4 linked regions of the Tamandua tetradactyla genome follow. The protein of the gene in region 3 interacts with the protein of the main gene of each other region in a pairwise test. Links are inferred from orthologs where the notes say so. Each region holds a gene or a part of one and is shown on either strand. Other genes may lie near its edges. The genes, in order: TRIM42, PLSCR3, STK16 and SAXO1.

The links.
Region 1: the proteins of STK16 (region 3) and TRIM42 interact in binary tests that used the Homo sapiens proteins (3 or more experiments, as listed by UniProt). The two-hybrid records come from large-scale screens. The link is inferred for Tamandua tetradactyla from reciprocal best matches to the Homo sapiens genes STK16 and TRIM42.
Region 2: the proteins of STK16 (region 3) and PLSCR3 interact in binary tests that used the Homo sapiens proteins (3 or more experiments, as listed by UniProt). The two-hybrid records come from large-scale screens. The link is inferred for Tamandua tetradactyla from reciprocal best matches to the Homo sapiens genes STK16 and PLSCR3.
Region 4: the proteins of STK16 (region 3) and SAXO1 interact in binary tests that used the Homo sapiens proteins (3 or more experiments, as listed by UniProt). The two-hybrid records come from large-scale screens. The link is inferred for Tamandua tetradactyla from reciprocal best matches to the Homo sapiens genes STK16 and SAXO1.

The regions. Positions count from the first base shown.
Region 1 is NC_135341.1:84,768,984-84,776,795, reverse strand, and holds the start of TRIM42 (tripartite motif-containing protein 42), read right to left. Parts: upstream 3,004-7,812; 5' UTR 2,793-3,003; coding exon 2,452-2,792; intron 1-2,451.
Region 2 is NC_135332.1:61,241,067-61,248,717, reverse strand, and holds the start of PLSCR3 (phospholipid scramblase 3), read left to right. Parts: upstream 1-4,637; 5' UTR 4,638-4,848; intron 4,849-5,057; exon of another isoform or gene 5,058-5,062; 5' UTR 5,063-5,218; coding exon 5,219-5,225; intron 5,226-5,503; coding exon 5,504-5,721; intron 5,722-5,806; coding exon 5,807-5,849; intron 5,850-5,950; coding exon 5,951-6,171; intron 6,172-6,395; coding exon 6,396-6,557; intron 6,558-7,651. UniProt on the Homo sapiens protein: Catalyzes calcium-induced ATP-independent rapid bidirectional and non-specific movement of the phospholipids (lipid scrambling or lipid flip-flop) between the inner and outer membrane of the mitochondria.
Region 3 is NC_135329.1:194,982,166-194,990,181, forward strand, and holds the start of STK16 (serine/threonine-protein kinase 16), read left to right. Parts: upstream 1-5,015; 5' UTR 5,016-5,120; intron 5,121-5,473; 5' UTR 5,474-5,577; coding exon 5,578-5,663; intron 5,664-6,240; coding exon 6,241-6,460; intron 6,461-6,725; coding exon 6,726-6,859; intron 6,860-7,026; coding exon 7,027-7,147; intron 7,148-7,271; coding exon 7,272-7,367; intron 7,368-7,788; coding exon 7,789-7,910; intron 7,911-8,016. Other genes in the region: GLB1L (beta-galactosidase-1-like protein), read right to left, coding at 2,567-2,627, 2,801-2,951, 3,203-3,369, 3,554-3,622. UniProt on the Homo sapiens protein: Membrane-associated protein kinase that phosphorylates on serine and threonine residues. In vitro substrates include DRG1, ENO1 and EIF4EBP1. Also autophosphorylates. May be involved in secretory vesicle trafficking or intracellular signaling.
Region 4 is NC_135328.1:78,080,774-78,088,213, reverse strand, and holds the start of SAXO1 (stabilizer of axonemal microtubules 1), read right to left. Parts: upstream 3,007-7,440; 5' UTR 2,693-3,006; coding exon 2,646-2,692; intron 1-2,645. UniProt on the Homo sapiens protein: May play a role in the regulation of cilium length. Stabilizes microtubules at low temperature.

The sequences.
Region 1 (7,812 bases), on a different chromosome or scaffold from region 3:
CTGAACTGCTCTTTGAACAAGAGTAAAGCAGCCCTGGAACTGGGACCACCCTGGGCCTATCTGCTGGCCTGGGGGTTGGGGGCGGGGAAGTTCCTGTCGGACAGAAGCAATATCACTGGACGCTAATGTCAGACAAGCCCACCTGGGGACTGTCATGGATCAAAACACAATCATGTCTGAACCAGACAAAAATAGGAACGTTACTCAAACCACAAAATTGACCAGACATCTGTCTCTCCCAGTTAACACCAGTTCCTGCTTCTTTACCAATGGCAACTGGGGGGCTCACCTGGTCCCCCTGCCTTCTAGGTAAGACTTAGTGCGACACCCACTAAGAGGTCCCCCCCCCCACCTCCTCACCTACTTCGAGCCCCAGTCCTATACTTTATTGACACCCTCTGACTGAGACACCTCACAGTTTCCTGGGGTGCCTCCCTTGTTGCAGTGGGTCAATACATCCACTTTTGTTCCAATTACAGTGTATTCTTGCTTGTTTCTGCCTGGAGGTTATGGACATTATTATTTGTGTACGTCGGTTGGAACCCAGGAGTTGGGGCAGGAGACAGGGCCTCTCCCAGGGCAGGAGCTCAGTAGCTATGCCAGTTCTAGAGCCCATGAGCTCTGCCCCCTGGACCAGGCAGTGACGGTTAGAAGTGAGCTGGAAGGCACCACTTCTCTCAGCCTGTTGCTTCATCTGTGAATCAAGGCCCACAATAGTACTTCCTTCGTGAGGTTTCTACAAAGAGAAAAATCTATGCTATGTGCCTAGATGCTGGTACATAATTATAATGGTGCATGTGGCTGTTGTAATTACTCCTGTCCGCGGCCAGCCAGCTCATGTCCACAGCAGAGGAAACTAGCGGTCAAGTCCGTGCAAAGTGTGTGCTTCTAGCGTCTTGTGTGTGTGTGTTTAAGATGCTTTGTCTAATTATGTTATGCTGAATGTTTTTGGGGCTTGTTTCCTGGAATGTAAGCATTCTAGGTGAAATAAAGCTTACTTGTAAAATACAAGTGTAGCTTCTAAAGGCTCCAATCAGAGCAAAAGCAGTTCATGAAAAGACACGGTTTGCTGTGGGAATGAAGGAGTGGACAGAAACAGTTTGTGGCTGTGCCTATCCCTTCACCTCTGATCCCATTAGCAAGGTTTGGATTTTGGTCTTGATTCCATGGCTGTTCCCCCTGCCTTGACCTTCTTGCGTTTCCTGTACGTCCCTGTCCCCAGATGGTTCTAACGCACAGCACAGTGTGGGAGCCACTGGTCTTACCATCCTCTCAAAGCTCCTGCCGAGCTCATCGCCCCCCTTGCTGCTGAAATGGGCTTAGCAAATCTGTGTTGCTGACACGCAGAGAGCAAGGCGGTTGTGCGGAGAGGGGGTGTGGACTCTACTCTCCACACCCTAGAGTGTTCTGACATGCACCCGGAATTCCTGGACTCTCTAGTCACGCGTGCACCAATGAGAAGCCCATTGGTGGAGAGCGTCCCAGCCACTAAGCATCTACTAAGTGCTTGAATGCAAGACGGATTGTACTCCTCCCCCAGAGCCACCGCAACTTTGCTCATAGAATTGCTTTTCTAGCCTCAGAAAGATCCAAACTTACCTCCTGCTTCTCTGTCTCACCAAATTCTGTCATCTTATGGGGCTGAGCTTTGATCTGTTCTCCTCTGAGAAGTCTGCCCACATTACTCCATACCTTCCTCACATGTGACATAAAAGACTGGCCTGGCCAGACCAGGGAGGGGCTGTGTAATGCCTGGCATGGAGGGTGAACGCCCCAACTGAGACTGTAGGTGCTGTGACTTTTGGATAGGAAAGAGCAGAAGGCAGATAGGAGTTCAAAGGGGGATGCAGTACTTATATAGGGGTCTAAACTCGCCTGTGGATGTGATTATTTTGCCCAGTTAATGGTGCAGATGTCATGCTCAGTGGAGGAAGAACGACTTATATTTTAATACTGCCCAGCAGATTACAAAGCCTATTCAGTCATCCTCAGGCCTCTGTACCCTGGCACGCATGGGTGCCTTTGCTTTGCAGTACAGCCTTTTAAAGTTAAGATCAAAGACTCTGGGTTCAGATCCTGACATCTCAATAGCTGTGTGATCCTGGGCAAATGAACCTCTCAAAGGCTTGATTTCATCATCAGTTCAGTGTGGGTGGTGGGAGGGTTAGGTGGGGTCGTGCAGGCAGTGCCTGGTAGTGATGGTGCCCTAATACCCAGTACCCGCTGCTGTGCCCGTGCACAGATGAGCAAGTGGAGGCCAGGAGAGTGCAGCTCCTCCTCACCATTAGAGCTTGGATTTGAAACTCTGGCCTGCACGTGGTTTATGGCTGTTTGGGATACACTTAATGTTACAAAAGAGTGGGCATCTGTTTTTCAGATGGAGAGACAGGCTTAGGGGTGCACCGGCCTTGTCCCCCGGCTCTCCTTAGCCCATTGGGTGCTGGCACTTACGAGGTGCGGATGCTCTTGAGGCGGCCCCTGCGGAAGGTGATGGTGGCGTTGCGGCAGCAGCGACTCTCATAGTAGTGGCACATGAGGTTGCTGCTGGCCATGCAGCAGTACTTGCAGTTGGGGTCATTGGCCCAGGAGCAGCAACACCAGTGGCAGTTGGGGTTCTCGGAGCAGGTGCAGTGGCAGCACTGACAGTTGCGCTCATCCTTGTAGGGGCAGGGGAAACAGGTGCAGTTGCGCTCCGAGGTGAAGAGGAACTTGCAGCACAGACAGGAGCACAGCTGGGGACAACACCTCTGCCATGTACAGCAGGGTGAGCAGACACACATAGCGGTCTCCATGGCGCCTACATGATTGCACCCTGCCCCCTGGGGCTTGTGGTCCCTCCTCTACCAGAATCCTGCCGTGGCTCCCCCCGCCCGAGGAGTTGGTCAGCTTGGCGGCTGAGCAGGTCGGCTGTGGCAAGGCCTTCACAGGTGGTGTCCTTACTAGGAAGCTCAGGGGCTGGCATATGCATGTATCAGCTGGAGGGCCTTTGCTTATGTCACAATTCCTGTCTCCCTACCACCTCTCACCACCCTGGGTAGGTGGGGCAGCAGTGGGGACACCTGGCAGCAAGGTGAGCTGATGGACAATCCATGCTTCCACAGGACCAGCTTCAGGAAGTGATGCAATGACATCCTAGAGGTTTAGCTGTCATTTGTCACCTCTGGGTTATAGATCAGATTTCAGAATCTAATTCTCCTTGCTTCTGTGACTGCAGTTTGGACAAGCTGACTCCAGGTACGTCTTCATAGGCTGAAAGGTCTGGATATGATTGTGAATATAGACTGACATGTTTTTTCTCTCTTCTTCTTCTTTCTTTCTTTATTTATTTTTGCATAGATAGAGCTATCTATTTGATGAACAAAGCACAGTGTTTACAAATATTAGCAATGTCACATTTAAAAATATAATGGAGAAAGAACTAAAGGAAAAGAAGAATTAGGTACAATTAGCACTTCTTTCTGTAGTTGTTGAGTTTGTCATTTGCTGTATAGTCACTGCTGATTTCCAGAAGTCTTCATGCTTAAGTTACCCCAAATATTTCTTGACTTTTCTAATGCTTGATGAGACTCAAGCTGTTTGCTTCCCCCCTGCACTGTCCCCAATATAGCCCTTTTACAAAGTGCAGAATTCTACAGAAGGATCCTTAGTAAATAGACCTTATGTTTTAGAGGAGAATTTTTCTTTGCACCTTATGTGCCTTACAAAGATTAAAGGTCAGAAAGTTCATTGTCATACAGTATTATGACATAAACACTGTGTGAAACAGATGTGAGAATTGAGTGTGGCTGCAGTGTTTTTTTTGCATAATTTATGATCTCTTTCTGTGACCGTCACCTTTTTAATAGAAAAGACTCTTCACTGAGTGCTGACTCGCTGCCAGCCACAAATTGTTTTTACGACCCTTCAAGTGAAAATCCTAGATCACAGAGTATTTGATTTATTTTTTATAGATACTACTAAATTGCTTGCTGAAATGTATGTGTCAGTTTACACTGATACCAACAATGTTTGAAAGACACCTTTTCCCGCATGTCTGCCCAACTGCAATTTTGTCTCTATTTCTTTCTGTCCCCAGGTGCTGAGATCTGAGTTGGTTATGGATTTATGGTGCCTTTTCATCACTGGTCTGTGCAAAGCCTCCTGTTCTTATTAATTGAGACATAATTCAGATCCCATAAAATTTTCCATGTAAAAGTGTACAGTTCAGTGCTTTTAATATATTTGTGTGGTTGTGCAACCATCACCGCTCTCTAATTCCAAAATAGTGTTATCATATCCCCAAAGTGACTGTACCCATTAGCAGCCACTCCTCATCTCACCCACCCACCCCCGGCCCCTGCCCACCACCCGCTACTCTACTTTGTGTCACTGTGATTTTTACCTGTACTGAGTAGTGCATAGAAATGGAATCACTGAATTTGTGGCCTTTTGTGTCTGACTTCTTTCACTTCACATAATATTTTCAAGGTCATCCACACTGTAGCATGTATCAGGTATTTCATTCCTTTTTGAAAGATTTTTATTAGAGAATTTGTGGCTTTACAAACAACTATGCATAAAATACGAGATTCTCATACACCACCAAACCCTCAATATAACTGATGATAGCACTTTAAAAATAATTGTACTATATATATTTTAATAGCAGTTACCTTTGTCACAATTGATGAAAAATTATTAAAATCGTACTATTATGTCATCCGTAATTTACATTAGGTGTATTTTCCCCATTCCTACCCTGTCACTGACACCTTGTATTACTGTTGTATATTTTTTATAATTTATGAAAGAGCATTCTTATACTATTAGCCATAGTCAGTCATCTATAATAGGATTTGCTGTGTTGTACAATCCCATGTCTTATTTTTTAAATTTTATTCTAGTAATATATACATCCTAAAGTTTCCCCTTTTAAACACATTCACCTCTATAGCTCAGTGCTGTTGATGACACACCCAATAATGTGCTCCCATTGCCGCCATCCATTTCCACACCTTAACCATTAGCCTAAATAGAAATTCACACCTTAACTATTAGCCTAAATAGAAGTTCCGTACAAGTCTAAGCATCAAATCCCCATTCTCCAACCCCAGTCTATCTCCAGGTAATTTATATTTAGATAGGAACTCTTTGAGTTTGCTTATTATAATTAGTTCACAAAAGTGAGATCATGCCATATTTGTCTTTTTGTGTCTGGCTAGCATACTGTCCTCCAGGTTCACCCATGTTGTCACGTGCATTAAGACTTCATTCCTTTTTACGGTTGAATAATATTCCATCGTATGTAGACACCACATTTGTTTATCTGTTTATCAGCTGATGGAAACTTGGGTTTCTTCCATCTTTTGGCAATTGTGAATAATGCCTCTATGAGTATCAGTGTACAAATATTTGCTACAGTCCATGGTTTTCAATTCTTCTAGATATAGATACACATACAGTACTGGGATTGCTAAATCACCTCGTTAATTGCACACTTAGCTTCCTGTGGAACTGCCAAACTATCTTCCACAGAGGCTAAACCACTTTACATGAATGAATGCTCTTATTTGCCCACAGCCTCTCCAACACTTCTAGTTTTCTGTTTTTTCTTTAAATAGTGGCCATTGTAGTCAGTGTGAAATGATACCTCATTGCGGTTTTGATTTACATTTCCCTAATCACTAGTGATGTCGAGCATCTCTTCATTTGCGTTTTAGCCATTTATGTATTCTCTTTGGAGAAATGTCTATTCAAGTTTTTTGCCCATTTGTAAATTGGGTTGTTTGTCTTTTAATTGTTGAGTTATAGGGTTTCTTTATATATTTTGGATATTAAATCATTATTGGGTATGTGGCTTCCAAATATTTTTTCCCATTGAGTAGGTGGTCTTTTCAATTTCATGACAAATTCTATTGATGCACAAACATTTTTAGTTTTGAGGAGCTCCCATTTATCTAGTTTTTTTCTTTCACTGCTTGTGTTTTGGATGTAAAGTCTAAGAAACCATTGCCTACTATAAGATCTTGAAGATGCTTACCTACATTTTCTTCTAGAACTTTCATAGTCCTGGTGCATATAAGTAGGTCTTTGATCCATTTTGAGATAATTTTTGTATAGTGTGTGAGATAGGGTCCTCTTTCATTCTTCTGCCTATGGATATCCAGTTCTTCTAACACCATTTGTTGAACAGACTATTCTAAACTTAGCAATCTCATCAAAAATCAATTGGTCTTAGATATGAGAGTCTATTCCTAAGCTCTCATTTGATTTCATTGGTTAATATAATGTCCCTATGGCAGAACCATGATGCTTTGACCATTGTAGCTTTGTAAAAGCTTTAAAGTCAATAAGTGTTTGTCTTACAACTTTGTTCTTTTTTTTCCAAGATATTTTTTTGCTATTGGGGGCCCTTATCCTTCCAAATAAATTTGATAATTGGTTTTTCTATTTCTGTAAAGTAGGCTGTTGGGATTTTGATTGGGATTTCATTGAACCAGATCGCTCATTACTAGTGTATGGAAGCACTACTGATTTTTGCATGTTGAGCTTTTATCCCATCACTTTGTTAAACAGCTTTATTAGCTCTAGTATCTTTGTTGTAGACACTTTGGGACTGTCTGTATAGGATCATGTCATCTGCAGATAGTGACAGTGTCACTTCTTCTTTTCCAATTTAGATGTCTTTTATTTCTTTTTCTTGCTTTACTATTCTGGCTAGAACTTCTAGAGCGGTGGTGACAGTAGGCATCCTTGTCTTATCCCATATCTTGGAGGGAAAGCTTTCACAACCGAGTACAATGCTAGCTCTGGGTTTTCATACATGCCCTTTATCATGTTGAGGAAGTTTCCTTCGATTCCTAGTTGTTGAAGGGTTTCCTCAAGAAAGGATGGTCCCCAATTCTGTGCTTTTCTGGCCTTTCTAGCAAGTGCAGCCCCTCAGCTCATCACCCCCAGAGCCCCCATGAAGCACTGTGTGTTCAAATCTCCACCAAGTCTGCCCCTGTCAAGAGCAAGGTTAAAAAACTGCTGCTGCTGCCTTTTTCCAGGCAGGTTGAAATACAAGCTCAGAGCCAGGACCCAGTGATCCAAATTCACTAATCAAAAGGCATGATCAGTGATCTACTGCACCCACCCCTGTTCTTGGGGAAGAGCATTTTATGTCCCTCTCTGTCCCCAGTGAGGTGGCCTAGGACTGGGCCTCATAGCACCCAGCTGTAAGAGTGGGGAATGGGGGCCAAGAGCCTCTGCTTGAAGAGAGCAACTTGCTGTTCTTTGCCACTGTGGTTTACCAGCCTCTTCCTTCTGCTGGTCTCCAGGGCCCCATAACATTTGTTTCAGATGGTTCCTGCCTGTTTAGTAGCTGTTTGGTGGAAGGACTGCATCCTGGAGCTCCCTACTGTGCTATCTTCCCCAGAAGTTCCCCACCACTTTCTTTTTAATGGCTGAATGATGGTCTATTATATGGATATACCACATTGACATTTGGATTGTTTTCACTATTTGACTATTATGAATAATGGTGCAATGAGCATTCATGTACAAGTGCTTGCATGAACATGTATTTTTAATCCTTTGGGGTATACAGAATTCTTGGTTGGTGGATTTTTTCTTTCAGCACTTCAAATATGTTGTCTCACTATCTTCTGGACTCCAGGGTTTCTATTGAGAAATTGGTTCGTCATCTTAGTAAAAATTCCTTATATATGATGCATTGCTTGACTCTTGCTGTTTTTAAAATTCTGCATTATTCTTGACATTTGATCATAATCTTTGAGCCCATTCCGCTTGGTGTTTAGCATTCATAGCTTTCAGCAAATCTGGGAAGTTTTT
Region 2 (7,651 bases), on a different chromosome or scaffold from region 3:
TATAATTCCCACAGAAAATTATGGGATAATTTCAATGTCAGATAAATTCTGAAACCCAGAGGGACCAGCATGTCCAAGATTGTCAATTAATTACATCCCCCTATCCTTTAGTGCTGACACCCTTTCTCAAATGAAAAGGTCACAATGGGCATTGCTCAAAGATCCCCTATAGATTAGGGGAAGGATGAAAGGAGAAGGAGGAGATGTAACAAAGAGAATAGGATTTGGCAAATGAGTATGACTGCTGAATATATTAATATTCCTCAAGTGTTCAAGAGCAGGTAGAAGGAAAAATCTGAGCTGGAATGGTAGCCCATGGCAAACTCTGGCATCTGTTCTGTCATTACTTATTGAAGTGTGCTTTGAAAATTATTGCTGTTTTTCTCCTTTGCTTTGTATATATGGTATATTTTACAATAAAAAGCATTTTTAAAAAAAGGTGTACAGACCACTTCTGCAAATGCTGGGATTTTTAGGTAGTCTCATTCAGCCCCATATTTTCCATTACAATGTACATGTTTTAAATCTGGAATTTTTCCCTCTCGTGCTTGTACCTACTGAGCTCCAGACTCCAGACCCTCTGCAGTGTAGTACAGCATTCTGTGGAGGCCTGAAGGAGTCAGGTTATGGGTGGAGGGTAGGAGGGCACCTTCTGGGCCCAAACAAGGGCTTTTGAGGCAGCCCTGAAGCGAGAGAGCTCAGTGAATCAGGGACCTGAAGGAGTTCCCAGGGGCTGACTTGAAGATCATGAGAGAACAGAAATGAGAGATGAGAATTGCAGGACCAAACGGTGGAGGGCCTTGTGCTGAGAAGTTGGGCTCTCTTCTGAAGGCCATGGGAAGCCACAGAAGCATTTATATCCAGGGAGATGGCATGATTTGAAGAACATTAGTGGAAGATCACAGTATTTCTTCATTTTACAAATGAGTAAACTGAGGCCTCAGAGGGGTTCAGCATGGCCCACAGAGAGTGACACAGTCAAGACTGGAACCCCAGGCTCCTCCCTTCCACTCCAATGCTCTTGCAGCATTTCCATCCTTCTTCTCAGGCAGTTTCTGGGGTGCAGAGGGAACCTCCCAGACCCCAGGCACCTGGAAAGGCCACCCTCTGTGTAACGGGAACCCTCTGACCCTAGCTTTGGTCCTGTCTGTGGACCAGGCTCTCAAGAGGTGGAGTGAATTCCAATTCACGTCCTGGAGCTGACCAAGAAAAAATTTTGGACCACTAGATGGCAGTGGCACACAAGCTATTTACTGGGAGCTGCTGCTTTGACAGGTTTGCTGGTGCCGGGAGGACCCCCCCCACCCCCACCCCACTCCCCAGCAGGAAGACTTCCAGAGATCAGCAGCACTGGGAAGCCACCAGAGGAGAAGCAAAGCAAGGGAAAACTCCCAAACTCCTTGGGGAGAGGAGAAAGGAAGACAAGAAGGGGGCTTAAGTGTCCAGGTGTTGCAGAGCCAGCACAGCTTTCGGAAGGGAGCAGAGGGCCCAGAGTATCCTGGCCAGAGAGTGTGGGTCCCCAAGAAATATGGGGCCTAATGCTTGCAGATTCCTGTCTAATCAACTGGGAATAAACACTAGGCAAAGCTTGGCAAAGAAGTTTCCTGGGATACGCAAAGCCAGTTAACTCCAAATGGCTAAAAGTTGCTTACTTAAGCTATTTTTAAAACCAATGGATGGGTAAGAATTTGGGTGTCGGTGGGTTTTTCTAACAGAACCCAGGTTGCTGTGAAGAGGTAAACAACACACAGGGCCACTCCACAGAGGCTATCCTTGCCTCATTTATAGACCAGGAACCAAGGGAAATGAGGCCTGTTTGGTAACTGGTCCCTACTATTACAGCACCACAAGGTCAGGGAAAGTGAGGCTCAGAGAGAAGTAACTTGTTCTATATTACACAGCCAGGACCTGAGTAAGCTGTAATTCTAACTCTCCTCCATTCAACCCCCAAAAGCTAAGTATTTTTCCTTCTTCAACAGTGTCAAGAAACTCAGATTCCCACAATGAAGACAGTTTAGAATGATAATTAAATAAAATGTGTTCAGTGTTACAAGTAGATGCTGTTTTGCCTTTGTTTGGGCTTGTTTTGCCTTTGGGATTGGGAAGCCTTCAGTTTTTTTCTGGGTTTTAAGCACCAGCAAAGAAGGAGAAAACCATACTGGTAACACCACCAATCAAGAGTAGTAACAGGAGTGCCTGGAGCTCAGGATTGGGTGGGCGGGCAGGAAACAGCCAAGCAGAGAAAGCGTGGGGCACATACTGTGCCAGATGGACTGGTGGGCCAGTTTAGTAGCCTCCAGGGTCTTTTACACCAGGCACTTATAGGCTCTGCTTAGACTGTTAAGAAAATCATCCAAGGAGGTCTGGCTGGGAAGCTGCTGCTTTAAAAATGAGGGCCTGGATTTGAGCAGGGGCCACATAGGTAAGGAGAAGGGAAAGGATACAAAGGACAGCTCAGAGAGGGAAAAGATGGTAGATCTGCAGAATGAACAGGAGGATCAGACAACGGTGACACCAACTGCTTGGTGTGTCACCCACTGGAAGAGGCAGAAGGAAGAGAGTTGTGTTGGACATGCCCAAACTCACCCCTGATCTATCCCCACCCCTCGCAGCCTTCCCCATCTCAGTGGCAGCTCCATCCTTCAAGCTGCTCAGGCGAAAAGTCCAAGTCTAACTTTGACTTCTCTTTTCCTCTCTCACATGCCACTTGCAAGCCATCATCAAACACATATTCAGAATCAGACCATTTTTTACCACCTGTGTGGCTGCCACCCTGCTCTATGTCACCATCACATCTTTCCTAGAATTTGACATTTATTTCTGCCTTTGCCTATTTTACAGGCTACTCTTGATCAAAGAATCCTGAGAGAGAGAACCTGCTTCTACAGTAGTAGTCCTCAACCTTGACTGCCCATTAAAATTTGCTGGTAAATTCTCAAAAATAGTGTAATTTAATTGGTATGGAGTGGGGCTTAGGCTAAGTACGTACAAGGTATTTTTTTAAGACAGGGTTGAGAAACATTGTTCCAATAATAATTCAGATCATGTCACTCTGCCCAAACCTGCCAACACTTTTCATCTCACTTGAAGCATAATTCATTAGTCATCAAGGCCACTGATGATCTGGCCTCCTGTTACCTCTCTGACCTCCCTCTTGTTCCCTCCATTCCCGCCACAGTGGCTTCCTTTATTCACTAAACAGTTAAGACTCACTTCCCCCTCGCCCTTGATAGGGCCTCTGCCTAAAACACTCTTCTCACAGAAGTCTGCCCGACTCAATCCCTCCCCTCCTGAAAGTTTTGGCTCATCTGTCATCTCAGTGATGCCTTCCTAGTCCATCCTATTTAAACCCCTGCCCACCACTTCCTGTCCTCCTTGTTCTGCTGTTTTTCTTCGTAGCATTTCTCACTGTCTGACTCCCAGTGTATTATATTTACTTATCATCTGTCTCTTCTCCACTAGAAAGTAAGCCCTGGGAGGTCAGGAATTGTTGTCCATTTTGTTTACTGCTATATATTTCTATCATCTCAAATGCTGTCTGGCATGTAAGAGGTGCTCAATAAACTTGGTTGAGTAATTGAATTTCTGTATATTTATGTGTTGTGACAGAGCGTGGCACATGGTTTGGGCCACAGGGAGTTAGAGGCATTAAGGAATACCAGGGGAAAGGGCAGGCATTTGGCCTGGAGCCAAGGATGACTGAAGTGTGGAAGGGGTGAAAAGAAGCCCTGGAAGAAAAGGGCCAGGACCAGACCAGAGGAACATGTTCATGTTGGTGGCAGGCACCTAGACTCATCCTGTACTCCTCCTCACCTCCACTTCTCACCCACCAACTAAGAATATCTCTAAAAGCTACCACTCTTAGTCTCCATTGCCCCAGCGATTGCCAACCCTCCCCAGACCAATGCCAAGAACCCAGCCAGGGAACACGGCTCTTCACGCTAGAGTTTGAAAGGTCTTCCTAAAACACAAATTTGACCTTCTTCCTCAGTCTTTTTTTTTTTTATTTTTCTTCCTCAGTCTTAAAAGCCTGCTGCCTTGGGGATCAAGTCCCCAGCCTCTGCAGCTCTCCCTCTCTAAACTCATCTCCTGTCACTCAGTCTGTGGGCCACCAAGGCACACGACTTCCTCACCCCTGCGAGGGAGCCGACTCAGGACCCCCGTGAAGTGACTCCTTTCAGGGGAAGCCTTCTCACAGCACTTCCTCGGCCAGCCCTGAGCCTCACCTCACGCACACACGATTGGCACTGTTTTGGCGGCCTGCCACCCACGTGGCTAGGGGTGCCTGAAGGAAGTAACTTGCAAGTGTCTGCGTGGGTCGCCGCAGCATCCCGGCCCCCTCAGGGACCCACTCGAGGTATGGCCCCAGGGAGGCGGAAAGGGAGCCAGGGGAGTCTGAAGTCAAAGAAGGGTGTGAAGACTGTTACGCTGCGTCAGCGAGACCCGATCCGCCCTTCGGAGGAGGAGCCGGGAGTGCGGAGCGGCCCGGCAGCGAGGCGCAGCACGGGCGGCCCGCGCTTCCCAACAGGGGGCGCCGAGCACTCCGAGCCCGCCGACGCGGCGGGCGTCGCCGGGCTGGTCTCTGAGGGATCCCCTCCCCAGGCGCCCTTCCTTTCTAGGCATCTGCAGCCGGAGCGGAAGGGGCGGAGACGCCAGCCGAGCGAAGACGTTAGGGACCCGGGTGCGCGGCCCCGCGAGAGAGCCGGCTTCCTCTCTGCGCAGGCGCGCCGCAGGGCGAGAGGGGCGGGACCTGGACGGGTCGGGGGCGGAGTCAAATCCTGGGCCCGCCTCCAAGAACTCCCGGGAGCCGCGGAGCGCGGGGCACCGGGGCAATTCTGGGGGCTTCAGGTGAGCGGTGGGCACGGAGGGGGCAGGGAGACCTCGCTCGAGGTCGGGCCGTCGGTGTGAACGCGGGTGCATCCGTCCTGTCGCCCGTCGCCGGCCGCCTCTGCGGAGAATAGGAGGACAAAGAGAGGGGATGGTTCTGGGCCCCCTGAGCGAATCCAGAGTCCCTGGTACCTCTCCCTGCCCGCTGACACTTTCGGTTTCTCCCCGAGTATAGAGACGCGCCGCCCACGAGCCCCTGGGCTGGCGCCGGGCGCAGCTGCTTCTCCGCCTTTGCCTCTCCGTCTTTGTGTCTGTCTCTGTGTCAATCTGGCTGTCTCCGAGCTCCAGAACTAACCGGACCCCGCATCCCGCGGACCCCCGCCCCTTTCCCATGGCAGGTAAGTGGGCTCAAGGCCGGGGGTCTCCGTTATCCCCCCACGGACTTGGGAGCCTGGTGTCGCACACATCCTCCGGGAATGTGCTCCAACTGGCTGCACGGGGCCCCTCCCTTCCTCCCGGGCAGCCGCCGCCCTGCACCCACGCCCCATCTTTCTCGGCCTCTTCCCACCCCATTTTCCTCAAAGCCCCGTGGCTCGTGGATGGAGGGGTGAGAGGGTGAGGCTGCAGGTCTCTCTAAAATCGACCCCTGAACCCACAGCATACTCGCCCCCAATAGGTTACGCCCCTTCGCCCCCACCTCCCTACCCTGTGACCGCCGGGTTTCCGGAGCCGGCGCTGCATCCTGGGCCCAGGCAGGCGCCAGTGCCCTCCCAGGGGCCTTCCCCCGCGCCCGGCTTCGGTGTTTTCCTCTCGCCCGGCCCAGTGGCCGCGGGGTCTGCTGCCCCCTTCTTGCCACTGCCGGGGGTGCCTTCTGGCCTCGAATTCATGGTGCAGGTGAGTGGAGGGGGCAGGGATAACCGGGAGGGCCCGGGAGCCCAGGTCGGCCAGCTGACCTCGGTGCCGCCTCTACTCTTTCTAGATTGACCAGATTTTGATTCACCAGAAGGTTGAGCGAGTGGAAGGTGAGTGGAGGGAGGAGTAGGTTGGACCCGTGACTGGGGCTAGAGATGGTGGGCTTTGGGGTCTAGGCCGACGCCTGAGTCTCAGTGTCACTACCCGGCAGCGTTCCTAGGCTGGGAGGCCCGCAACCGGTATGAACTGCGTTCGGGGGCGGGACAGCCCTTGGGCCGGGCAGCTGAGGAGAGTAACGTCTGCGCCCGCCTGTGCTGCGGTGCCCGCCGGCCGCTGCGCATCCGCCTGGCGGACCCCTGGAACCGCGAGGTGCTGCACCTGCTCCGACCGCTCCACTGTGGCTGCAGCTGCTGCCCCTGCGGCCTCCAAGAGGTGGGTGGGGATGGGGTACTGTGTGATGGGGTAGAACCAGGGATAAGGCATGGCTCTGGTGGGCATGGGCAATTGAGGATGGGCAGGACCAGGGGTGAGGCATGGCGAGTGAGGATGGGAGGGTATAGTGAAAGGGCCACGTAGACAGGAACTAGAGTGGGTGCCAATGAGTACTTGGGCCAGTTGCCTCACTCAGCAGTGACCCTGTCTGCCTCCCACTACAGATGGAAGTACAGGCTCCACCTGGCATCACCATTGGCCATGTGCTACAGACCTGGCATCCTTTCCTCCCCAAGTTCTCCATCCAGGATGCTGATCGCCAGACAATCCTACGGGTGGTGGGGCCCTACTGGACCTGTGGCTGTGGCACAAATACCAACTTTGAGGTATCAGGAATAAGGGTAGATTCCTGGGAACCTCATGAGGCAGGATGGCCAACACTAAAGTGGAAACTCTGAGCTCACTAATCCAAATTCATTGTGCCCCTTTCTGCATTTCCGATTTTTCTCCATTCTGATTAGGATGGTCCTGTGGGCATGGCAAGGAGGGTTTTGTCTTAAGGACCAGTGCTGATTATTACCTACAGACCTATGTTGAAAAATCTGAGGCCAGCCTGGATTTGGGATTTACTGAGTCTGCCGTGGGCTGGTCCCAGGTGGCTGCTGTGTGTGACTTTGTAAGCTCAGGCCCTGGAATGAGTGCTAATTTGACTTGTAAACGTCTTGTGGCTTGTCCTGCCAACCTAGAAAGCCAATTAGTCCCTCTAACCTAGAACACCATCCATTTCTATCACCAACATGGAGCCTGAAGACCCAAATCGGCTAGGTGAGGCCTGAGGAAAACCTTAGTTTCTAAAGGGAAAAGGCACTACAGACCCGTGAGTTCTTTAAGGGATAATTACCTCTGCAGATAAAGGAGAACAACAGGTATAAACTAGCAGCCTTTCCAAAGCTTCTGATTAGCTGTGTTACCTAAAGTTATTTTTAAAAATTCAGTCACCTTGGTAGCTGGAGGAGGTTCTGTGATGGGAACTGGTTGTGAAATAACTGGGTGATCCCTCGGATAGGAATGTATAGACTGTGGGGTTCTCACAGGATCAGCCTCCCTTTGGCATAATTATAAATGGTCCATATTTGGGGATGCACCCTTGGAAACTGCAGGGATGGCTAGGATAGGGAGATAGAAAGGACCTAGAAGGACTATATTTCTAATCCCTGGAGAATGAGCCTAGGATAAGGACCAGGGAGTTTTGAATTACCACCACCTTGGCAGGACCAGTTGCTGCTGGACTCAGACTGGTGGACATCATGGTCCTCAGATACCACATATGGCTGTTTTCCCCTCTCCACCATTAGATGGACTCGGATCCCTTTTAGAAGAGGCACGCAATGCTAACAGGGCCCTCCCCTACTTTGCAGATGAGAGAAAAGGCAGATATAATCCTCCAGTGTCTTGTTGGCTGGTGGAATATAGCCAAGAC
Region 3 (8,016 bases):
GGAACTTATTTTCTAGTAGGGGAGGCAGATTAAAAAATATACAGGATGTTAGGACCAAGGATAGAAAAAAAGGACAGAGGATATAAAATGTTGTAGGGGAGGGGGCTTAAATTTCATAGAGGGTGGTCAGGGATGGCCTCACTGAGAAGTTGGTTTCTACAGGAAGATAAAGGGAGCACCACGTGCAAAGGCCTCAAGTATGACAGGCCTTTGTGGCTGGTGCCCTGTGAACAAGAAGGAGAAGACAGGATGTTAGGAAGTAACTGGGGTCAATTATATAGGGCCTTGTAGATCATTTTAAGGAATCCATGGCTCGTATTCTGAAGAGATAGAAACCTATTGGCAAGTCGAATGGAGAAGTGGTATGAACTAAGATACGTATTTAAACATTAACAGTGTTATACTGGCTGCTGTGCTGAGAACATGCTACATGGAGGGTGGGGGTGGGGCAAAACAAGGGAAACCAGTTAAGAAGCTATTAAAATAATCCAGGTGAGAGAGGTGGTTTGGACCAGGCTGATGGCAATGGGAGTGATTAAATGTAGTTGAATTCTGAAAGTATTCTGAGGATACAGCTGACAGGCTTTTCTGATGGAATAAATGTGAGGTGTGAGAGAAAGGCATAAGCCTGACCAATCAGTAAATGGAGTTGTTACTATCTGATATGAGTTGATTGTAGGAAGAGCTGATTTGGGGAAGCGATATCAAGAGCTTAGTTGTATCATTAAGCCTTTCAGATTTCCAAGTGGAGAAGTCAAGTAGGGAGTTGGATAAAAGTCAGGGGAAAAGACTGGAGATACACAGTAATTAAATTTAAAGTGATGAAAATAAATGAGAGCATCTGGGAATGATTTATTTCTAGAAAAGGGAAGGGTCCAAGGACTGGGCCCTGGAATAATCCAGCATTCAGCTGTATGCGAAATGGAGAAAAAGAGTCTATGGAGTGGTCAGAAAGATGGAGGGGAGTGGGAGAGACAAGATAAGTGTGATATCATGAAAGCTAAGAGAAGAGTACTTCAAAGGACAGACTGATCACCTGTGCTGATGCTGCTGCTTGGTCAGGAAGCATAAGGCCTAAAAGATCACCATGGATTTAGTGATGTAGAGGTCATGGTTTTGTTGAGAAAAACAGATCTCTTGTTCGTACTCCATCAATCCTTGATCATTTACAATGTATTTTATGGACAACTGAGTTTGGAAAATGCTTTGGTGAGCATAAAGCACGCCAACACTCAAGGAAGTAAAGCAGCCCCTGGAGAGTTCCCAGCAGATTTAAGGTATTTTGCCAGAGTGATCTTCTAAAAAGGTAAAATCAAATCAGTCATTCCCTTGCTCTTATGACTTCCTATTTTCATGCAGAATGAAATCCAAACTCCTTGAAATACTGAGCATTCTCAGAGCTTAATCCTGAATTCTCATCTTTTCTCTCGCTACACTTACTCCCCAGGTGAGATCTCATGGGATTTAAATGCTATCTGCAGACTGATGACTCCCAAATTTATCTCTCTAGCTCAAACTTCTTCCCTAAGTTCCAAACCCACACATCCTATTGCTTATTTAATATCCTCACTTGACTATGCCACAGATAATGAAAATTTAACATGACCAGAACAGAACCACTGTTTTTCTCTTCAAAGTTGTTCCTCTGCCACCACTAGTCTTCTCTGTCTTCCCTATGTCAGTTAATGGTACCACCATCCTGACTGGCCAGAAACTTGATTCCTTTCTTTCCGACCCTCCACCTTCCAATCAAAATCCATCAACAAGTCCTGATGATTTTTCTTACCAAACTATCTCCCAATTCTGCCCTTTCTTTTCATCTCCACCATCATCACCTTAATACTGGCTACCACCGTCTCTCTCCTCAACTTCAATCAGAGTCTCCCAATTAGGTTCTTCACCTCTATCTTACTTCCTCAATTCATTCTCCCCATCAGAGCTAATAAATCAGATCATGCCATACCAATAGCTTTCTACTGTACTTAAAACTCAAACCCTTTATTGTGATCTACAAGGTCCTGCATCAATTGTCTCTACCTTTCTCCAATGTCATGTTATACTATGCTCTCCTTCACCCACTATGCTCCAGCCATTCTGCCTTTTCAGTTATTCAATCATGTTCTTTCTCATCTTGGGCCTTAGAACATACACTGTACCCTCTACGTGGATGTTTTCATCTCACTCTTCACATGACCAGTGACTTCCCTTCCCTGAGGTCAAGTGAAATGTTTCTTTCTCATATAAGCCTTTCCTGACTACCCTACTTCTCTGTTATAGGCTATCTCAACTGTCTGTTTTCTCATGTGGTAATTTTACAGCTTGTGATTAATTTATTTATAGGTTTAATTTCTAAAAACCTGTCTCCACTATTTTATAAGGTCCATTTCATAGGAACTGGGTCTGTCTGTTGTGCCAGTTTCTAGCATCCTGCTGGACAAGTAGGAAACAATAAATAGTTGAATGAATGATCTCCAATTTGGGCATAGTGTTTCCTGTTTCTGGAACCCAAGTGACTCACGTTTTGTTGTTTGCTTTTCTCTGTGTTAAATCTTTTGCTTCAACTCACCTGGATCTGAGGTTCTCAGATGAATTTTAGGGTTTCGAAGCAACCAGGATGGGAGACCTCCCTGAGATAGACAAAAAAAACAACAAAGAAGAGTGTAGGTTTTGTTCTGCGGTGAAGTGGAGGAGGTAAGAAATTGAATGTAGTGCTGGAAGTGGCCCTAGAGCGTAGACAAATGGCAGTAGTCTAGGAACTGCACATGGAGGTTTGATTTTATCCCTTCTCCAACTAACTCACCATCTCCCACTCTGCACAGATGTAAGGTCCTGGTCTCAGGATGACGAACAGGTTCGCTAGAGCAGTCTCATGCAAAAACGCAAAGAGGTCCCGGCTGCCATTAAAGTTATAGACCCCAGGCTCTGGCTCATGATAGTTCCAGGGCACGTAACTGAGGAAGGAAGAGTTTAACAGGGCCCAAGGTGGGGAGATGCCAGGGAAACCTAAGAGCCCAGGCCCTGCAGGAAACTCCAGGATGCAGCTGGAAGGTGGTCCTTGTCTGTCCTTTCCCAATCTTTACCTGGGAGCCCAGGAGTCCCAACCACTCTATATTGAGTTTGTCTTCTTGCCCAACCCCATTCCTAAGGAAGCAGTATGGAGAGTAAATCCCGCCCCTCCACGGCTGTCACAAGCACTTCTTACAACTGTACAGCATTGAGGCCGCTCATTCGCATCTTTAATAGTCGGTCTGCCCAAAGCACCCGCGGTACCCGAAAATAGTGCATGCTTCCAGACACGTAACGGAACGGGACCCCGTCAAGGAGGAACCTGTCATTATACAGATCCACTACGAACGACCGAGTCTCTACCTGCAAAGCGAAGGTGAGATGGTGCTTAGCAGACATCTGGAGTGGGGGTCAGCGTCTGCCCAGAGCGGGGAAGATGGAATTAGCCCCGCCCATTGTCTTGTTATTACTTTTACTTTCTCTTCATCTGCCCGGTCTGATCCTGCCTCACCGCACCAGGCGGGAGAGTTCAACACTCCAGACTTACCTGGGCCCGCAGCAGCATCAGGAGCGGCAGTAGCAGGGAGGGAAGACAGGGCGGCTTCTTGGGAGCCATGGCGCTTACAGGGCTCCTCTAGTCTGAGACGGCGATCCGACCGTCACGTGGCGGATTCCTGGGAGGGAACTTCAGCGAGCAAGGGGGCGGAGACCACCCCAAATTGCCAGGCGGTTAGCCTAGACTTTGTTTCCAACCTTGCAGCCACCCGCCACTATAGTGGATCGTAAAGTTCTCTATATCTTGCTACTTAAAAGTGTAGCCCACAAACCAGCTTCATCAGCGTCACCAGGGAGCTTGTTAGAAAGGCAGACTATCAGGTCCAACCTCAGACCTATGGAATCAGGATTTGTATTTTAACAAGATCCCCAGGCGATCCTCTGTACATTCTAGATTGAGAAGCACCTCTCTACTATACTGAGCACCCTGAGGGCAGGGAGTGCCTTGTTCTTCAGCTTTAAGCACAGAGTCCAGCACATAGCAGGTTAATCTAGATGAGTGAATGCCAGAACCAAGGGAAATCGTAGGAAAATCTTCCTGATGACTGGGCATATGAATGGGGGAAAGCAGATTACACAAGGGATCTTTTTCTTGGAGGGGGCTGTTTCAGCAAAAGGGCCCATCCAGGCCATTTCATCTTCTTATCCCTGCCTGCTAAAGATGTCAGGGACAACTGCGTGGTGCTAAGATTTTGGAATTTGGGAATTTCCAAGCCTAGGATGTGAGGCCCAGGATACTTAGTATTATTATTATTGTTTATTGACACTTATTGAGAGCTTTGTGTCAGATATTGTGCTAAAGAACTGACATCTCACTTTATCCTCAGATAATTCTCTAAGGTAAATAATTATCATTCCAGTATTACAGAGGAGGAAACTGAGGGACAGAAATATTAAGTAAACTGTCCAAGGTCAAATAACTAGTTTAGTAGAGCTGAGATTTGAACTGGGCAGTTTGGCCTCACGGATCATGCAGTTAACCTTGGGTCCTACTATACCTATTTTAGAGCTAGTAAAGAGAGGCTTGAGAGGGGTTAAGTAACTTGCCTGAGGTGACACAGCTAGTAGGCTATTAAATCCGGATTTGGATCCTGACAGTGTGGTTCCAAAGTCTGAGCTCTCTTAATCACTAAGACTAGGGTAGTGAGATACAGTCCCCAGAGGCTGAATTGTTATCAGAGTTCCAGGAATCCAGCACTCCAGCACCCACCCCTCCCTGCGCTTCTGCAGCTCTCTGGTCCCAGCACGCCGGACATTTCAGGTCTCCTACCTCGGGCATTGGGAGAAGGAGGTCCTGGGGAACCTAGGGCTGGGCCCGGCTTTGCTCCCCTTTGACGCAGGTGCCTGCGTCTTGACCCCTACTGAAGGCCAGGTGGGGACCCTCTCCCGGGTCTTGGGACCCGTCCTCCCCCAGGTCTAGCCCGCCACAGGCCTCTCAGCTCGGCGCCTCCACATCTTCCGGGTACCCAGCCGTTGCTAGGATACCGCCGGCCGTTACGCCCGCGCGGACTGATGATGCAACCACTGCTTCCGGACTCTGGAGCTCCTGCCCGGGCCAGGTCAGTGGGGAGTCGCGACTAGCAGCCTATGCAGAGTTGGGGCTGGGTCCTGTAAGGGGTGGGCGTCAGGCTCGCACCTCCCCCGTAACTACTCGGTACTCTGACTTCGCGCCCGAAGGGCGTGGGAGTGGGGGCTGTCTAAAAGTAGATACGATTTGGAGGAAGCGGCCTGGTAACTGCTGCGTGGTCTGATGTTTTAAAGCTCCTCACCGCCGTCTTCTTGGAGCTAGCGTTGCCAGGTCCCATTTCCTCAAATGGGAATATAGGTCCCTGGACTTGGACTCTCCGCGTTGTTAATTCGGGGCCACTTGTACTGTGCCGGGCCCGCGACCCTGCCGTTCTATTCCTTCCAGCATGATTCGCTGGACCCCCTGCATATCGCCTGGAAAAACCCATTTACCCTTGATGAACCCTTCGGCAGCCTCAGACCGTCCTTGAGGAGGATGATTGAGACACTATGGGCCACGCACTGTGTGTCTGCTCTCGGGGCACTGTCATCATTGACAATAAGCGCTACCTCTTCATCCAGAAACTGGGGGAGGGGTAAGTGCTTGAAAATCAGTTTCTTGACTCCCAGAGTGATGGTGGATGAGGAACACCAGTTCGCTCGTGATAAGGGTACAAAAGCTTTATCCCCATCCTCTAACTCACCTGACAGGGCCTAGCCATATGGTCATCAAGAAAGTGGATTCTGGAGTCAGGCCTCCTAGATCCACCTTGTGTGGCCTTGGTAAGCCATGGTTTCTTTGTTTGCCTAGTGGGGGACAGTTATCATGCCTCACTGATAGAGTTGTGAGGATTAAATAAGATGATGCTTGTAAAATGTCTAGTGCAGGGCCTGGTGCATAAGCAGTTGGTAAATGTTGACTATTTTTCATTTCCTTGTTATTGAGCATCTTCATGTACAGAGCACGTTATGACCACAGGACCTAAAGGTGGTCATATCTCTGCTCTTGGGAGGCTCAAAGTGTAATAGCCTTGAGATGTCTCTTAGAGCCACATCTTGGGAGGGTTGCTACTAAAAGAGAAATACACCCCCTTCCTCTTCCCAGGGAATCCCCTCTGGGTTCAGGCAGTGTGGGAGATGACCGTGGTCCTTCACTGACCCTTTGGCCCACAGTGGGTTCAGCTATGTGGACCTAGTGGAGGGGTTACATGATGGACGCTTCTACGCCCTGAAGCGAATCCTGTGTCATGAGCAGCAGGACCGAGAGGAGGCCCAGCGAGAAGCAGACATGCATCGCCTCTTCCATCACCCCAACATCCTTCACCTCGTGGCTTACTGTCTGAAAGAACGGGGCTCTAAACAAGAGGCCTGGCTGCTGCTACCCTTCTTCAAGGTCAGAAGGACTCCTAGTTATGGAGGGGTTTCAACAGAGCCACCTGCCAAGGGCTGTGTGAGCAATCAAACATGTTAGGAAGCTGGGGCCATGTTCAGACTTTAGCCACTTCAGATTTGGGTTTTAGAGGAACCCAGGTGGTACTGTGAGGGTTTGAGGTGTATGTGGAGAAGGGGTTGATAGGCTTTGGCATAGGGAAAGGGTCATGTCCTGGGAGCAGAGAACTTGGAAGTCATTTCCAACTGCGGGGAAAACTGTGTTACAGAGAGGTACGCTGTGGAATGAGATAGAAAGGCTGAAGGACAAAGGCAAGTTCTTGACTGAGGATCAAATCCTGCTGTTGCTGCTGGGTATCTGCAGAGGCCTCGAAGCCATTCATGCCAAGGGTTATGCCCACAGGTTAGTGGGAAGACCCTGTGTACCTGCTGGGGCAGAGGGGAAGAGCCTTACCAGGAGAAATGGGAGGTCTCTGTTTTCCTGAGAAACAGCCCCATGATTCTTTTGCTCTCTAGGGGTCCAGCCTCCCTGTCCAGGGGTGGTCACAATTCATTTCCACTTCCTTATAGAGACCTGAAGCCCACCAACATCTTGCTTGGAGACGAGGGGCAGCCAATTTTAATGGACTTGGGTTCCATGAATCAGGCATGCATTCAGGTGGACAGCTCCCGCCAGGCTCTGGCCCTACAGGTGAGAGTCTCCTGGTTCCTTTGCCCATGTGTTCCCTATCCCCAGCCCTTTTTGATATATACCCCAATTTAGCACTGGACCGTGACCTGTGCCTCACTTTTGGGCTCTGGGGCCACTGTTCCAGGACTGGGCAGCCCAGCGATGCACCATCTCCTATCGGGCTCCAGAGCTCTTCTCTGTGCAAAGCCACTGTGTCATCGATGAACGGACTGACGTCTGGGTAAGGAGCATGTGGGTAGAAATCTGGGCAGGGGTAGAATGCTGCTCTGTACCCACTGGTGGTAGAGGAATACGTCTTTGGTTTCTACCACATGGGGCCTCAGGAACCCTGGTATGTCCCCATCCCCCCTTGACTTCCTTCCTGGGAACTGTCAGTGATACCATACTCAGTTGTTCAGGAAGTGATATAATCCCTGCCCCTGAACAGGGTGGATACAGCTAAGTACCAGAACTGAAGGCAGTAACTAGACAAGGAATGCAGAGGCTTCCAGCTAACTGACAGTTTCTCTGGGCCATGGTGGTGCCATGTGGCTGAGGTTGGCGTATTCTTTTTTGACTTATGCAGCTCCTTTCTCTACACTAGTAAAGAAGGGATATCACCTTCATTGGTCCATTCTAGGGAATAACCAAGTGGTGCTCAGTCCCTAGGCTGTGTGCTGTATGCCATGATGTTTGGGGAAGGTCCTTATGACATGGTGTTCCAGAAAGGTGACAGTGTGGCCCTGGCGGTACAGAACCAACTCAGCATCCCGCAAAGCCCCAGGTGAGCTATAAAAGGGGCACCAACAGTGAGTAAAAAAGTATTTGCAGAATCTCTTGGGGGAATGGTGAGAAAGAGGGAAAATTCAACTTCCCCAAGTGGAGAATTC
Region 4 (7,440 bases), on a different chromosome or scaffold from region 3:
CTTTTATTAAAAGCCAAACCATCTCTGGTGTGTTGCATTCCAGCAGCTAGCAAACTAGAACAACATATCAAGGAGTGACAGCCCAGCAGGAGAAATCCTCCCAGGTCCTATAGCCTACCCCACTCCAGACGCCCTTAGGGCAAGGACCACCAAACACCATGAACCCCATAGCAGTGAGCCCAATATTGGACACCACGGGAAGCCCAAGAAAATGCTGGCTGAATTAAAATTGTTCCCCCAGGGTAAAGGAGATGAAGCAGGCTGCAGGATTATCAGGGCGAGCCAGGATGAGGGGTAGAGGCAGCAGGTGTTTGTCACTGGTTCGTTAGATCTGACTGACCATGGGGAGAAAAATAGAACTGAATAGCACATGGAAGAACTAGGGGACTTTTTTGGGGGGGTTTGCTGCTTTTAAATAAGTGTATATTTTTCTTAGATAGAGGGCCTCTTCCCATGTTTGGACACTTAAGTGAAAGAGCTAATGAAGAAAGGGAAATTGGGACTGCAGGAGAGAGTGGGGAATGAGGGGGGTCTGCTCCCAGAAAAGGAGGAGGCAGAAGGGGTGCTGTAAAGGCCCCTGGATGGAGGGGACCTTTAGATAAAAAGGGAAACCTAAGCCAGCTAAGGCAGACCACAAAATAAAAAGAAACAATTAAAGCTGTCTTCACTTGAGCATCCCCAAAAGCAGATCCTGAAACAAGAATGTGAGTGCAAATAGCTTACTTGAGGCATTATCCCAAAACCCAAGAGCAGGAGAAAGGGAAGGAGGCAACGCCAATGGAACAATGCGTTCTCCCCTTCCATTTTGGGCAAAGGTGGAGTAACAGGGAAAACTTTAAAAACTGTACAAAATATATGATATAAGGCTTTTCAAGACATGCAAACATCACGCAAAGAATAATGATCCCCGAGAGGTGGGAAACAAAGGCGATAGCCCCTTTGTTTTTGTGAATAGCACCCCCACCACACCCTTAGTACAGTCTCCAAGCTATGGAGCAGGGAGGGGGATCCCAGGGTGAATCCAGTGGTTTCCCTTAGTCCAGACAGAGTTGAAATCCAGGGAGGCCCTTCTAGGCAGCCACAGGTTACAGGAGCAAGTCTACGGAAGAGAGTCCTACTTAACAAAGCTTAAAAACAAGGCACAGGAGGTGCGAGGGTAGTTCAATGGTAGAATTCTTGCCTGACATGCGGGAGACTTGGGTTCGATTCCTGGTCCATGCACTCCCCAAAACAAACAAACAAACAAAAAACACACAAGTAAGCAAAAATTCAACAAATGGTGCTGCAACAACAGGATACTCACATGGAAAAATAATGAAACGTGACCATCCCCGCCCGCCATACAGCATACAAAAAAAGGCATACACAAGTTTGTGATCCAGCTCAGGGGTTCCCAATCCTGGCAAATGGTCAGAATCGCCCAAAGGGCACTGCCTGGGGCCCTCCATCAGAGATTGTGATATAGCAGCCTGAGCAACTGACAGTAGCTTTAACCCACCCCCACCCCAGGTGATTCTAATGAGCAGCCAGGGTTGAGAACCATTCAGCCATGCTAGAGATGGTACAAGGTTTCAAACCTTGTAACACAGATTTTAGTGAGTCCTTTAATCCCCGCCTCCTCCGTCTACAATGATGTCATTTTTTGTTGTATTCATGAAGCATATTAAATTGGAAAGCACTTTTTTCAGATTTCAGGAGGCTCACATGCATAATTCATTTATTCCTTACAATCCTACCTGGTAGGCACAGGTGATACAGAAGAAGAAACTATGGCATATGGCATGGAGAAGTCCAGTTACCTGCCCTAGATCCACAAGGAGTGGCAACACAGGAGAGCTGGCCCAGTGCCCACCCTCTTATCTGTTGCTTCTCTGCTGCCCCATCTTGGTGGCTCCCCAAGTTGTCCTGTGAAGCAGGTGAGAGGCTCAGCTCCCAGTGTGCCTGACACTGAGTAGGCAGCCACAAAACTCTGATGAGGAGAATGTCTCCCTGGGACCACCTGTCCGTAACTGTGCTTCACCCCAGGCATGGTCCTAAAGGCAAAGGGCCAGGAGAAACCTGATAGCTTGTGAAAGCAATCTCCCTTTCATTATTCTCCTTCAATTTTACACCGCATGGAAACAAGTTTTACAAAAACTTTATACTTCTTTGACAAAGTAACCACAATTTATCTGAGAAACTCAGTTACATTAAAGAAACCCTCTTCCTCATCTCCATTCCATTCCGAAAAGCACAACCAAAAAAAAAAAAAAACCCACAAGACTGGACAAGGGATTTTCCATCTGATACTTTCTCCAGCTACAGGGAAGGGAGCACAAACTCTCTGCCGAGCTGCGTCCATGTTGCAACCTCCGCACAGCTGTGAAGTGGCTGAACAGGGGAAAGGGGGTGCAGCCCCATTCGCCAGGATTGATTCAACCCCAGAGCTTTAAACTCTAGCTGACGGTAAGGATGGCGATGAATCTGCCATAACACTGCAGCCTAATAATAATGGTTGACAGGTGGAGAATCCACCGCGATGCTGCCTGATTAATCAACACAAGATGAGTCCTCAGCCTAGCTTTCCAGAAAGTGGCTTCGCTTACCTCCAGAGGCCCACACCCCACGCCCAGCCCCCCGCCTTGCGCTGGGCCGGGCAACCTTACCCGCAAGAGCACAAGTCGCAGATGCACTTCCTCTTCGAAGGGGCCATCCTAAGGACCTGTGTCCACGTAGAACATCCCCTGCCGCCCCTGCCGCCCCTGCCGCCCGGTGTGCCCCAGCCGCCTCACTGGGGGCACACCAAGTCTCAAGGTCCTGGGCAAATGTTCTCCGTATTTATTCAAAAGAAAATTTAAGAGGCCCTTTTGCAAAGCCCTGTGATCTGTTGCCTTCCTTATGCTGGCCTTGCACGAGGGGCAGCAGGGAGGGCGGATGGCGCGCCAGCCCTGGCCACCTCCCCATGCACGCGGCCGCCCCAGCCTCTGCGCCCCGGACCCATGCACGTGGAGCGGTGTCCCGCCAGGGGAAATGAGGACTCTCTGTGACGTCGTGGGCCAGGAAGGGCACATATCTAGATGGCAATGACATCACAAGGGCCACTTGTGACGTGAGGGAGTCCCCAGTACCCCACTTGGAAAGCCCAGGACAAGATTTACCCCACTGGACCTTGGAAAAACATAAAGGAAGGTGGACTTTGGAAAGCTCGTGGGTGCGCTTATCAGCAAATGCCACGATCGCCTGTACAGAAAAGCTGAAAAGGCCACTGCCATCACATTATGTGGCATTTTCTGTCTCTAGGATCCGTGGTTCTCTTTTTTTATAGAAATGCATCCCTTGACCTCCAGAAGACTAACCTTAAATGCCCTTTCCAGACTAAATATAGTTAAGATGTCGATTCTACCTAAATTGATTTACAGGTACAATGCAATACAAATTAAAATCCCAAAAACTTCCTTTTCAGAAATAGAAAAACCAATAACCAAATTTATCCGGAAGGGCAGGGTGCCCCAAATAGCTAAAAGTATCCTGAGAAAAAAAAAATGAAGTCGGAGGTCTCACGCTACCTGATTTTAAGGCATATTATGAAGCTACAGTGGTCAAAACAGCATGGTACTGGCATAAAGATAGATATGCTGACCAATGGGATCGGATAGAGTGTTCAGATATAGACCCTCTCATCTATGGACATTTGATCTTTGATAAGGCAGTCAAGCCAACTCACCTGGGACAGAACAGTCTCTTCAATAAATGGTCCCTAGAGAACTGGATATCCATATGCAAAAGAATGAAAGAGGACCCATATCTCACACCCTATACAAAAGTTAACTCAAATTGGATCAAAGACCTAAACATTAGATCTAAGACCATAAAAGTGTTAGAAGAAAAGATAGGGAAATATCTTATAAATCTTATACTTGGAGGCGGTTTTCTAGACCTTACACCCAAAGCAAGAGCATTGAAGACAGAAAGAAAGAAATGGGAACTCCTCAAAATTAAACACATTTGTGCATCAAAGAACTTCATCAAGAAAGTAAAAAGACAGCCTACACAATGGGAGACAATATTTGGAAACAACATAGCAGATAAAGTTCTAGTATCCAGAATTTATAAAGAGATTGTTCGACTCAACAACAAAAAGACAGCCAATCCAATTACAAAATGGGAAGAAGACTTGAACAGATACTTCTCAGAAGAGGAAATACAAATGGCCAAAAGGCACATGAAGAGATGCTCAACTTCCCTGGCCATTAGAGAAATGCAAATCAAAACCACAATGAGATATCATCTCACACCCACCAGAACGGCCATTATCAACAAAACAGAAAATGACAAGAGCTGGAGAGGATGTGGAGAAAGAGGCACACTTATCCACTGTTGGTGGGAATGTCAAATGGTGCAACCACTGTGGAAGGCAGTTTGGCGGTTCCTCAAAAAGCTGAATATAGAATTGCCATATGACCTGGCAGTACCGTTGCTAGGTATCTACTCAAAGGACATAAGGGCAAAGACACAAACAGACATTGGCACACAAATGTTTATAGCAGCATTATTTACAACTGCAAAGAGATGGAAACAGCCAAAACGTCCATCAACAGACGAGTGGCTAAACAAACGGCGGTATATACATACGGTGGAATATTATGCAGCTGTAAGACAGAATAAAGTTATGAAGTATGTAACAACATGAATGGACCTTAAGGACATTATGCTGAGTGAGATTAGCCAGAAACAAAAGGACAAATACTGTGTGGTCTCACTGATATGAACTGACATTAGTGAATAAACTTGGAATGTTTCGCTGGTAACAGAGACCACCAGGAGATAGAAATAGCGTAAGATATTGGGTAATTGGAGCTAAAGAGATACAGATTGTGCAACAGGACTGAATATAAAAACTCAGAAATGGACAGCACAATACTACCTAACTGTAATACAATTATGTTAAAACACTGAATGAAGCTGAATGTGAGAATGATTGAGGGAGGAGGGCTGGGGACATAAATGAAATCAGAAAGAAAGACAGATGTTAAAGATTGAGATGGTATAATCTAGGAATGCCTAGAGTGTATCATGATAGTAACTAAATGTGCAAATTTAAAAAATGTTTTTGCATGAGGAAGCACAAAGGAATGTCATTACTGCAGGGTGCTGAAAATAGATGGTAATTAATATTTTAAAATTTCAACTTATGTGTGAGACTAAAGCAAAAAATGTTTATTTGGTGCAAAATTTATATTTTGACTAGTGCATTTCCTAATATAACTTATGAGGATAGCTTGGTTGAACATCATAAGTACATGGAACCTTGGGTAGGACATGAGATTTTGTTGATTTTTCCACCGTGATGACCCGATGAATCCCAGAGTGGTTCAATCAGTGAGTGGAAAAGTATTTGCAAAGTCCCCTTCGGGGAATGGTGAGAACAGGGGAAAATTCAACCTCCCCAAGTTGAATTCTTGATATTCTCACAAGCAGTGTGGACAACCAAAGCTCTAGGCTGAGCCCCCAGTCTTGGGGCTTGTTCATATGATACATAATCCCTCAAAGGATAGGTCAAGCCTACTTAAAATTAGGCCTAAGAGTCGCCCCCAAGAGAGCCTCTTTTGTTGCTCAGATGTGGCCTCTCTCTCCAGCCAACACATCAAGCCAACTCACCACCCTCCCCCTGTCTACATGGGACATGACTCCCAGGGGTGTGGACCTTCCTGGCAACTTGGGACAGAAATCCTAGAATGAGCTGAGACTCAGCATCACAGGATTGAGAAAAACCCTAGAATGAGCTGTGACTCAGCATCAAGGGATTGAGAAAACCTTCTGGACCAAAAGGGGGAAGAGTGAAATGAGACAAAGTGTCAATGGCTGAGAGATTCCAGAGTCGAGAGGTCATTCTGGAGGTTATTCTTACTCATTAAGTACATATCACCTTGTTATTCAGGATGTAATGGAGAGGCTGGAGGGAACTGCCTGAAGATGTAGAGCTGTGTTCCAGTAGCCATGTTTCTTGGAGATGATTGAATAATGATATAGCTTTCGCAATGTGACTGTGTAATTGTGAAAACCTTGTGTCTGATGCTCCTTTTATCTACCTTGTTAACAGACGAGTAGAACATATGGAATAAAAATAAATAATAGGGGGAACAATTGTTAAAATAAATTTATTTTGAAATGCTAGTGATCAATGAAAGGAAGGGGTAAGGGGTATGGTATGTATAATTTTTTTTTCTGTTTTCGTTTGATTTCTTTTTCTGTTTTTTTTCTTTTTCTGAATTGATGCAAATGTTCTAAGAAATGATCATGATGATCAATATGCAACTATGTGATGATATTGTGAATTACTGATTATATATGTAGAATGGATGACCATATGTTAAGAATGTTTGTGTTTCTTTCTAGTCTTTTTTTTAAATTTAAAAATTAATAAAAAAAAAAATGCCCTTTCCAGATCTTCCTTGGGGAAATCCACGCCTGTGGCTTCAAGTGCCTTTTGAGAATTGCTCCCACACACAGACCTTGCTCCCTTGAGACCAAAGCAGTTTAAAGCGCCAGGCCTCTACTGGTCATACGGTGCGCAATCTTCCAGGTGGTAATGTGGACCCTTGAAGCACTGGTTTTCAGATTTTGTGCATCAGAATCACCTGGAAGGCTTGATAAGCACCAGTTTGCCAGGCTCTTACCCCCTGGAGTTTCTGATTCAGAAAGGCATGTGTGGGGCCAAAAATATTCATTTCTAACAAGTTCCTAAGCGCTGCTGATTCTCCTGGGTCCAGGACCAGGCTTTGAGAACCTCCCCTTGATGCAGTGTTTCTCTAACTTACTTGCTCCTGAGAGCCACTTCAAATTGCTGGCCTGAACCCTCCTACATTGACTCTCTAGTTTTAGCAAAAAAAACCCAGGTGATTCTGATCATGAAGCAAATTCAGGAGACAGGACTGCTCTGGCAGGTTGTTTGGAATTGAACATAACTTCCTGGTTATAGGAAATGGCAACTTAAGCTATTAATAAGCCTTTGCCTATTTTTCTTTCCCAAACTTCCTAACTCTTCCCATTAGTTTAAGTGAATGAGTGAGTCAATCAGAGTCATCTTAGGCCAAAGGAAACTTGGGGATTTTGTTTTCTTCCATGTCAGTTAGGCTCTGGAACAGACAGTGGCAAACTATTGTCTGTGGTTCAAGTCCAACCTGCCACCTGTTTACCTGTTTTTGTATGAAAAAAAAAGAATTTTATGTGATGTGAAAATTATATAAAATTCAAATTTTAGTGTCTATAAACAAAAGTATTAAATTTTATCAACAAAAACTGGGTGGAGAAAGGGAGGGGCAAGGGATATGGTATGTATGAATTTTTTTCTGTTGTCTTTTTATTTCTTTTTCTGAATTGATGCAAATGTTCTAAGAAATGATCATGATGATGAATATGCAACTATGTGATGATATTGTGAATTACTGATTAAATATGGAG